2 linked regions of the Rattus norvegicus genome follow. The protein of the gene in region 2 purifies or fractionates together with the protein of the main gene of each other region. This does not show direct contact. Links are inferred from orthologs where the notes say so. Each region holds a gene or a part of one and is shown on either strand. Other genes may lie near its edges.

What was found.
Region 1: the proteins of Kcnq1 (region 2) and Akap9 purify together in Homo sapiens (affinity purification with western blotting; 3 studies listed by BioGRID and IntAct, with this or other methods). This does not show direct contact. The link is inferred for Rattus norvegicus from reciprocal best matches to the Homo sapiens genes KCNQ1 and AKAP9.

Annotation. Positions count from the first base shown.
Region 1 is NC_086022.1:31,011,240-31,015,051, reverse strand, and holds the end of Akap9 (A-kinase anchor protein 9), read left to right. Parts: intron 1-652; coding exon 653-782; intron 783-1,320; coding exon 1,321-1,457; intron 1,458-3,036; coding exon 3,037-3,074; 3' UTR 3,075-3,577; downstream 3,578-3,812. UniProt on the Homo sapiens protein: Scaffolding protein that assembles several protein kinases and phosphatases on the centrosome and Golgi apparatus. Required to maintain the integrity of the Golgi apparatus. Required for microtubule nucleation at the cis-side of the Golgi apparatus.
Region 2 is NC_086019.1:207,719,732-207,724,223, reverse strand, and holds the start of Kcnq1 (potassium voltage-gated channel subfamily KQT member 1), read right to left. Parts: upstream 3,027-4,492; 5' UTR 2,958-3,026; coding exon 2,572-2,957; intron 1-2,571. UniProt on the Homo sapiens protein: Pore-forming subunit of the voltage-gated potassium (Kv) channel involved in the regulation of cardiomyocyte excitability and important in normal development and functions of myocardium, inner ear, stomach and colon.

The sequences.
Region 1 (3,812 bases), on a different chromosome or scaffold from region 2:
CCACGGTGTGAGTACTGAGCCATGTTCAGTGGTCCTGACAGCAGGCAGCAAAGAAAGCCTGTGTAGACCCCTGAAAATGTTAGGGTAGCCTGTTAGACTGAGATGAGATTTTCACCATAATGAGTTGTGTTAGCACAAAAAGTTAGCAAGTCTTGATTTCACATTTTTTTTTTTTTTGGTTTTGTTCCCAGTAAAGGTAGACTAGAGTAGATAAGATTTGGTTACTAAGTGCAGTATTTTAATCCATATCACTTTTCCTCCAAAGCACACATACTTAGAAGCACTTACACCTTTGATCCGGTAGCAACTAGGTATTTACAAGGGGAATATTCCAATGAGTTTATTTTCTTAGAAGCATAGTTCTTCATACCAGAAATAGTCATGTTCAGAGGTAGACAGAAAACCACTGAAAGGCTCTTTGGTTTGTATCGTTCTCTTTTGGCCAGAATTGGAAGTAGCTGTAAGTAGTACGAAGTAGACTATTAGAGCTTATGACTTTTGTGCATTATGAGAGCAAAACATCTTTAGTTGTGTGTAGTTTCTATAAAGTTTAGAGCCTGAGCTACCGTATACTATTCTTTTAAACCCTTACTGGTTTATAGGTGTCTTCTGAGACCTTTTTCATTATGGTGATATATTTGGATTTATTTAGGCATTGAAAAGACTGACCCATTCTATCATTCGTCTGGTGGGCTGGAGCTGTATGGAGAACCAAGACACACAACATACCGCTCAAGATTTGATCTGGACTACCCTAGGTCTCCCTTGCCATTGCAGAATAGGTAAGAATTTATCAGGTCTGGGTGGCATAAGCAGTAACATGTCAGCAAGAAGTAGATTGTTAGAGTTTATAACTTCTTTGCATTGTGAGAGCTAAGAATCTTTAGTTATATGCAGTTTCTGTGGAGTTTAGAGCCAGAGCGACTTTTTATTTGTAAATGGTTTCTAAAGGCATAGAAAACAATTTATAAATGGTTTATAGATGTATACTGCAGTTAGACATTGGAAAAGTATTGATTACCATCCAATACAAAAAAGAAAATAATACTGTAGATCTGTGAAAAGTTGCTTAACACAAATCCTGCATATTCTGATCACCTCTGAAGGGCTTGTGCTGGGCCTTCTCATAATGGCATCTTTAAATTTATTGGCGATTTACTTGTTATCCTATATTTAGAAGTCTGCTCAGGCAGTGTATAGAGTGGGAGGGGGTGGGGGTGGGGTGGGGGAGGGGCATGGGGTGGGGGTGGAGAGGCAGGCTGTCAGTTTTTCTACATTGTTTCTAGCAAATTGGATTCCTGAATATAATTTAATCCATAGGTACCCGGGTGCTCCAGACTTAAATTCTACTTCAATGGCTTCTTCTCAACTTCACCAGTACAATCCTGATAAATCTCTGACAGACTATGTCACTCGGCTAGAGGCACTGAAAAGGCGACTTGGAGCTATACAGTCAGGTGCTGGATCTTAACCACTTCTCTGTAGCGGCAGTACACTTGTGCCTTTCTCTATCTCCTCAACATGCTTCTGCAGGTTAATCAAACCTTTTAGCTCAGTGAAGAAATTCCACGGTGTCCCAGCTTAAACTCTGACCAGCAGAGAACTATCTCTCCTGTGTTCCAACAGCACCCCTGACAGTGATTTTGTAGTCTTCACTTGGATTAGACAAAATGCATGATGGGTACCATCTGAGGCCCAGCCCAGAACCTGTTCCTAAGTAGAGTATGGTAGAAAGCAGCAATGTGTAGAAGGCAGAGCAAGCCCTGCCCAAAGCAGGTAATGTAGCGATTGTCTTCATTGTCCTTCCACATGGTATCCCAACAAGCTTTGCCTTGCAAAACACTAAGTATCATCATACCTCCCCTCACCATATGAAATGTGTTCCGTAAAGTGACTCAGCAGTTAAAGGCCCTGCCTCCAAGCCTGAGTATCTGAGTTCAATCCCCACAACCCACAAGGTGTAGGAGATGACCAACTCCTACAGGTTGCTCTCTGCCCTGCACTGTGGGATATCACCTACACACATAGATAAAAATGTAATTTTTAAGATTTTGTAAGAATAATTTTACTCAGAACTATACACAAATTGTCATACTTTATGTAGAGGAAGATTTCATTCATCATAGGAATGCTTCCATGATTTCATTCACTCACTACTGGTCCAAAGACTGGGTCGATTTAGTTTAAGCTATTGTGCTAGCCCTGCTCTGATGGATTCGTTTTGCTTGTTTGTTTTTATTCATTCTATATGTATGAGTGTTTTGTCTCCATGTGGTCTGTGTACCACATACATGCCTGATGCCTGCAAGGGCCAGAAGAGGACATCAAACCTCCTCGGACTGGAGTGAGCTACTGTGTGGTTGCTGGGACTCAAACTCAGGTCCTCTAGGAGTGCTTCTAACAGCTAAACCGTCTATTCTTCAGCCCCTGGTCATTTTTTAAGGACTCTTTTTCTATTGATACCACATACTGTGGACCACAGTTATTTAAAGGTAGTTCAGTTCTTCATTCAAGAAGTCGGGTATTTAACCCAAGTAACCTTCGTGTGCTCATGAAATTCATCAGCACTGACTCTCTCTTCCACTGCTGTAGGGTAGTCAAGGTGACCTCTAAATATAGTCAGCCTCTTGGAGCTCAATTTAAGCTGAGGGCAGATGGCTTTGTGTGAAGAACACTGTTGTTTAGAGACAGACTTGTCGTTCCCGGCACCCAGTCTCATAACTGCCAGTAACTGCAGCTCCAGGGAACCCAGTGACTTAGGGCACTCTGTGCTGCATTCACACACACACACACACACACACACACACACACACACACACACACACACACAGCATACATGTACACACATCTGGCTGCATATTGGTTGTCATATTGAGCACTCAAGCTCAGATTGTTAGACTTGCCAGCACCACAACCACTGGAACACCTCACGGGCCCCTGGCATTTTGAGATGGTTTTAAACAGACCCATCTGCCCATGTCGTCTGGCTGCCCTCAAACAGGTACGAGTCTAATTGTTTTGTATTTTATTTTACAGGGTCGACTACTCAATTTCATTTTGGCATGAGGAGATAATCCTTTGAAATACTTATTGAATATTAAATGGATTCCCTTTTGTAAATCAATGGCTCTTTTGTGCTTTTGTATTGTGAATATTCAACGGGACCAATACATACACAGCTTATGATTGTATACAAATCCTCAGCAGCACATGAAGACAAACTGGAGTTTGTGTATATAAGCATTGTGTGTGTTCATGCACAGTAATCATTAAATTACATGTATATTGTGGAATGCTAATTTAAATGATTAAATTATAAACTTTGTGTATTTATCGGAAGGGTGAAAAGATTAAACTTTTTCAAATGGCAATGCTGCCGGATGCATAGCGTGCGGTGTCCTGCGCTTTTCTTACAAAGCTACTGAAGTTACAAGTTTCTGCTTCATAGATTTGCTACTGGTGATGAAGACAACATGTCACTTGTAGAGACCTATTTTTGTATAATGGTCTAAGTTTTGAACTTTATGGGTATTTTGTCAAGTACTGAAATAAAAATGACCTCACCATTTTCACTGTACTGTAGTGGAACCTTCTTGATTTTTCACCAAGCCACAACTTGTGGTCCCTGTCATCTTGTTACTTGTCTCAGCTCAGGTTCCAAAAAGTGGTTTCTCTCTCCCTCCATTAAAGGACATTTTTAATGCCACACTAAGGTGGCATTAGTGTTTATGATTAGTCCATGTTTTATTCTATTTAGTGTTCTTGAGTCCAAAGACACAAATCTAGACACAGAAATCAGCTCTCAAAGAGCA
Region 2 (4,492 bases):
TCATGGTCAACTCCCTGAGGTACTAGCAAAAGCCACCAGAAAGTTCTTGGGGAACTGAGCAAGCCAGGACTGTGAGAGGATGGAGACAAGATGATCAAGTTTCGGTTCAAGAATGAGGGAGGTGGGTAGTGTCTCTTAAACCCCTCTGTTGGTCACAATCAGGGTCTCCAATCAGAGTAGATACTTTGGAACATCTGCCCCTGATCCTGGCCAAGGCCCAGCAGCAAGACAGCTGGCCCCCTGGGACCTTGCCTAGCAAGGGGGCTGCTCTCTATGGGGACACAAAGAGCCACAGGACAGGATTAGGATAATGGGGTGGGAACCCAAGCAGCAGAGGGCAGTGTCTGGGGACTGTGTCCTGACCCTGTCAGCCAGGGAAGGTCACAGACACAGGAAGAGCTGCTCTACTTGGGCCAAGGCAAGGGTCCCCCAAGGAGGGGCCAGGATGTCCGGGTCTGTTTCCCCATACGCAAGTGGGAAACCATACCCCAGAGACTACAGGACACTGGCTGTCACCCCTATGCCCCCTCCACCCATCCCCCACATTCATGCCCTGATTTTCAAAAGCAGGCTTGTCCCTTGGGCCACAGAACCATCCCTGTATGTTTTAGAGTCCATCTTACCAAGTGCAGAGCTCACAGTTTGCAAGCCACATTTGCTACTCAGAGCAACACCAGGGGCAACCAGCATGGCCGTGCATTTTATAAAGATGTTTGGCTCCCAGCTGCTGGCCATGTCTCATCTCAGGAAACTGCCTGACCCTAAAGGTCTTGCCCACCTCCTGAAGGTGATGGACATGAGGCCCCTTCCCTCTGAGTCTGAGCAAACCACATGCTGTAACCAGCAGGGTCTTCCCAGCTTACTTACCCCTCCCTCCTTGTAACTAAACTCCATGGGCAGCCAGGGACAGGGCTGGGCAAAATTCACCAAGCACCACTCAGGAGCTAGCATCTCTCTCCCTCTCCTTGACAAAGAAGACCTTAGACCACCAATCTAGAAGCCACCAGGGCCCAGTGGCTCCTGGCTCCTGGGAAGGCTGGGCAAAGACAAGCTCTGCTAAGCAAACTTCCCGAGAGCTGAACAATCCAGTTCAGGAAGAAAGCACAGTGTAAGCACAGACTTCCTCTGGGGCGGGACAAGCCCTCTTCCTCCACCAGGGCCAGGCTACCACAGTCAGGAACTTAACAACGCTCATTCTAATGACCTGCCTCCCCAGGAGGATTCCATGCAAGTGTCCGAAGGCTGCTCACCTTGGCGAATGAGGATCCTGGATAAAAAGGTAACAGAGTAGGGACTACTCCAGCACCCAACCCCTTTCATCTCAGGGATTTTAGGATCCAGCAGGCTTGTTTGCCAGGCATTCCCTACAGTGGTTAAGGCCCTCTGGGGTCTTTGCACACTATTCCCTATGCCCTGAGAAAAGCCCACTGCTGCTACAGACACATGCAGTGTGTCTCCATCTTCAAAAGACCAGCAATGAAACCTCAGGGGTCCTGGCACTTTGGGAGGTAAGACTGGGGGATTGGGGAGTGCCTTAAGGACTTAAATACCAAGAATGCCAGTGGGGACAGGGTGCCCAGAGACTTGTCCTGGATACCATGGGAGATCATTGTCTCCCTTTGCAAGGCAAAGGACCATCAGAACTCAATTTCGTGAGCTTGGGTCTTGCTGTGCCTCAGAGCCAAACACAGAACCCTGGACACCCAGTGGAGGCCCTCCCCTACCCAGGTGGCAAGACTAGCCACAAGGAGGTCGCCTAGTGGAACATCCAAAGGAATTAGCTGCAGGGTCGGTAGGGTAGAGTAGAATCCAGAGCCAGAGGCTGGCAGGGCGCTAAGAAACTAGGCAGCCAGAAAGCGCTGGCCAGGGGGAGGCAGCAAGGAAGGCAGCCAGATCATTCCTGAAGATGACTTTCTGTGACCCTGCCCTTGAAAAATTGAGTGCCCTGCCCCTCTCAGACAGCCGGTGAGAATAAGTGCCACCTGGTAGAAGTGAGGGCCAGGTGCAGCTCTGCTCCCTCCCTCCCCTGTTGCCTAAAGCAGGTGCTGCTCATGGACTCTAGACAATGTTGGCTGGGCTCAGGTCATCCAGTCCACTTTCCTCAGCTTGGGTTATTGAAGCTGTAGGCACTCCCTGTGGACATCTTGGGCAACAACTGCACCTGCCAATCTATCCTGCAAACGTCCCTGCTTCTCTGAGTGCCTAAGATAGAGACATCCACCCAGGCCTGGATGGGTTTACAAATCGACACCAGTCATTCCTGGGGGCTCCTGAGTCTCTTGTCACAGCTGACTCACACCAAAAGGCAGGCTCCCAGCTTGCCTACTCCTCCTGTGGGGACTAATACCTAAGTGTTGTCCCTCCATCCCAAGCGCATGGCCTCGGGGAGCTCTTAAGTTGGTACACTCCATATTCCAAGTGTCCCCCACCACATGCCCCACTAAGCCCCAGCAGAGTCTCTGAACTGAAAGGACTGACTCCCAGTCTGGTATGTGATTAGCCCTTCCTTGCCTCCCTGAGGGTCACAGTGGCACCAGCCCTAGGAGTCCTGCGTGCGGGGAGGTTACTCACACGGTGAAGTGGTACACGAAACACTTCCAACCCGTGGGGCGCTCGAGGAAGTTGTAGACGCGGCCCTGGATGTGGGTGCGCGCCAGCAGCGGGCGACGCGTACTGTAGATGGAGACGCGCGGGTCAAGGCTCACCCGCGGACGTGGGCCGAGGTCTGCAGGGGCCGGGACGGGCGACACAGGGGGCGACATGGGGGGCGCGAGCCCTGGAGCTCCGGTTGGTGCGATGGGCGCGTAGACCGTGCCTCCCGTCGGGCCACCTTCGGCCAGCTCCAGTGAAAAGGGACACTTCTTTGCTAGTCCCGCGCTTCCCCGCCGGGCGCCTAGCAGGCGGCCCCAACCCGCGCGCTTCCTCTCAGCATTGGGCGGGGAGGAGGCCGTGTCCATGGCCAGACAGGACCCCGGACCCCGCCGCTCCTCAGAGCAGAGATGAAGGCAGCGCAGAGCGCAGGGCGCAGTGCGGGTGGCCTGCTGCCAGCCCAGCCACGGGGGGCCGCTGTCCGCTCCGCCTGGGGGCGGGGGCGGGGCTGGTCCCCCGGGATGGCATGTCCCGCCCCCAGAACGCCCCGCCCCCGGGCGCCACCGCGCGCCTACCTGCGGCCTGGCTCAGCCAGCGGGCTACCTGCTACGCCAAGGCATGCCAGTCTGATCTCCGCATTCCGGTCGGTGCGCACCTGCTGGGCGCACGTGCTTCCCCGCACCCCGAGGACCGCCAGTCTGCTTGGCTCTAGGGTCCTCTAACTTGGGACCAGCAGATACCACCACCACGAATCAGGTCGACCACAATCACCCTTTTTCTCGCCATCAGAACCCTCCCTAGAGAGGAAGCAGGAGGCAGAGAAGGGCATCCTGGGCCACGTATGGATACTTTCCAGCACAGGATGAGGAAGTGTTGGCCCGGAGAACACTGAGCACCCTCGGGTGTCCAGAAGCCTCCGCTGGCGGCAGAGAATGTGAAAATCCCTTCCCAGTAGTTAATCACGGTCCAGTAAAGCAGTGGGATGGAGGAAATGGGGACTGACATGAGTGCCACTCAATGAGTGTGGGCTAAAAGGCAAGTGCTAGATTGTGGGCTTTACTTGTAGACACCGCTGGTGGGTCTGCCTGAGCGTTTATGTTTACTCCCTTTAAGTTTGTAGCTCCCCAGAGACACACAGAAGACCGCTTCTTGTCCTGTGGTGGTGTAAGACCAGAGTCAGAAGGTTTATGCAGCTGGCTCTTGCTACGCTGGCCTTTGTGTGGGGTATAAGGGCACCTGCATCCCATGACAATCACCAAATCCCATTCTCCTGTGATCCGCCAGGCCCGACTCTCACACCACGCACAAGAATAACTTTCAGATACTGTCTTTGTTAGCTTCAATTGTCAACTTGGCACAGCCTAGGGTCATCTGAGAAGAGAATCAGTTGAAGGACTGCCTAGATTGGGTTAGCCTGTGGGTGTGTCTGAGGAAGATTGCCTTGATTGTGTTCATTGATGTGGGAAGACACAGCCCACTGTGGGCGGCATCTGTTTCCCGGGCAGGTGGTCCTAAGCTTTATAAGAAGGCAAGCTGAGTATGAGCCCGAGAACAGGCAGGCAGCGTTCCTCTGGGTTTTCTGCTGAGCTTCCTTGGTTGTGAATGAGTTCTTTGATGGGAGTTGGTGCTATGTGGAATACTGAGCAAGCCTGTCTCCAGGTTCCTGATTGAGGTCCTTCTCTGGCCTCCCTTTGAAGATGGGCTGTAACCGGTAAGCTGAAATAAATCCTTTCCTCACCCAAGTTGCTCTTGGTTCTGGTGTTTATCGAAGCAATAGAAGGAAACAAGAACAGGTGGATCAAAGGCTTTGGTATAAAAATTGAACCTGTGCAGAAAGAACAAGGGTGAGGGGCCATTGGTATAGCCAGAGGTAGAGTATGTGCCTAGTGCATGCAAGGACCTG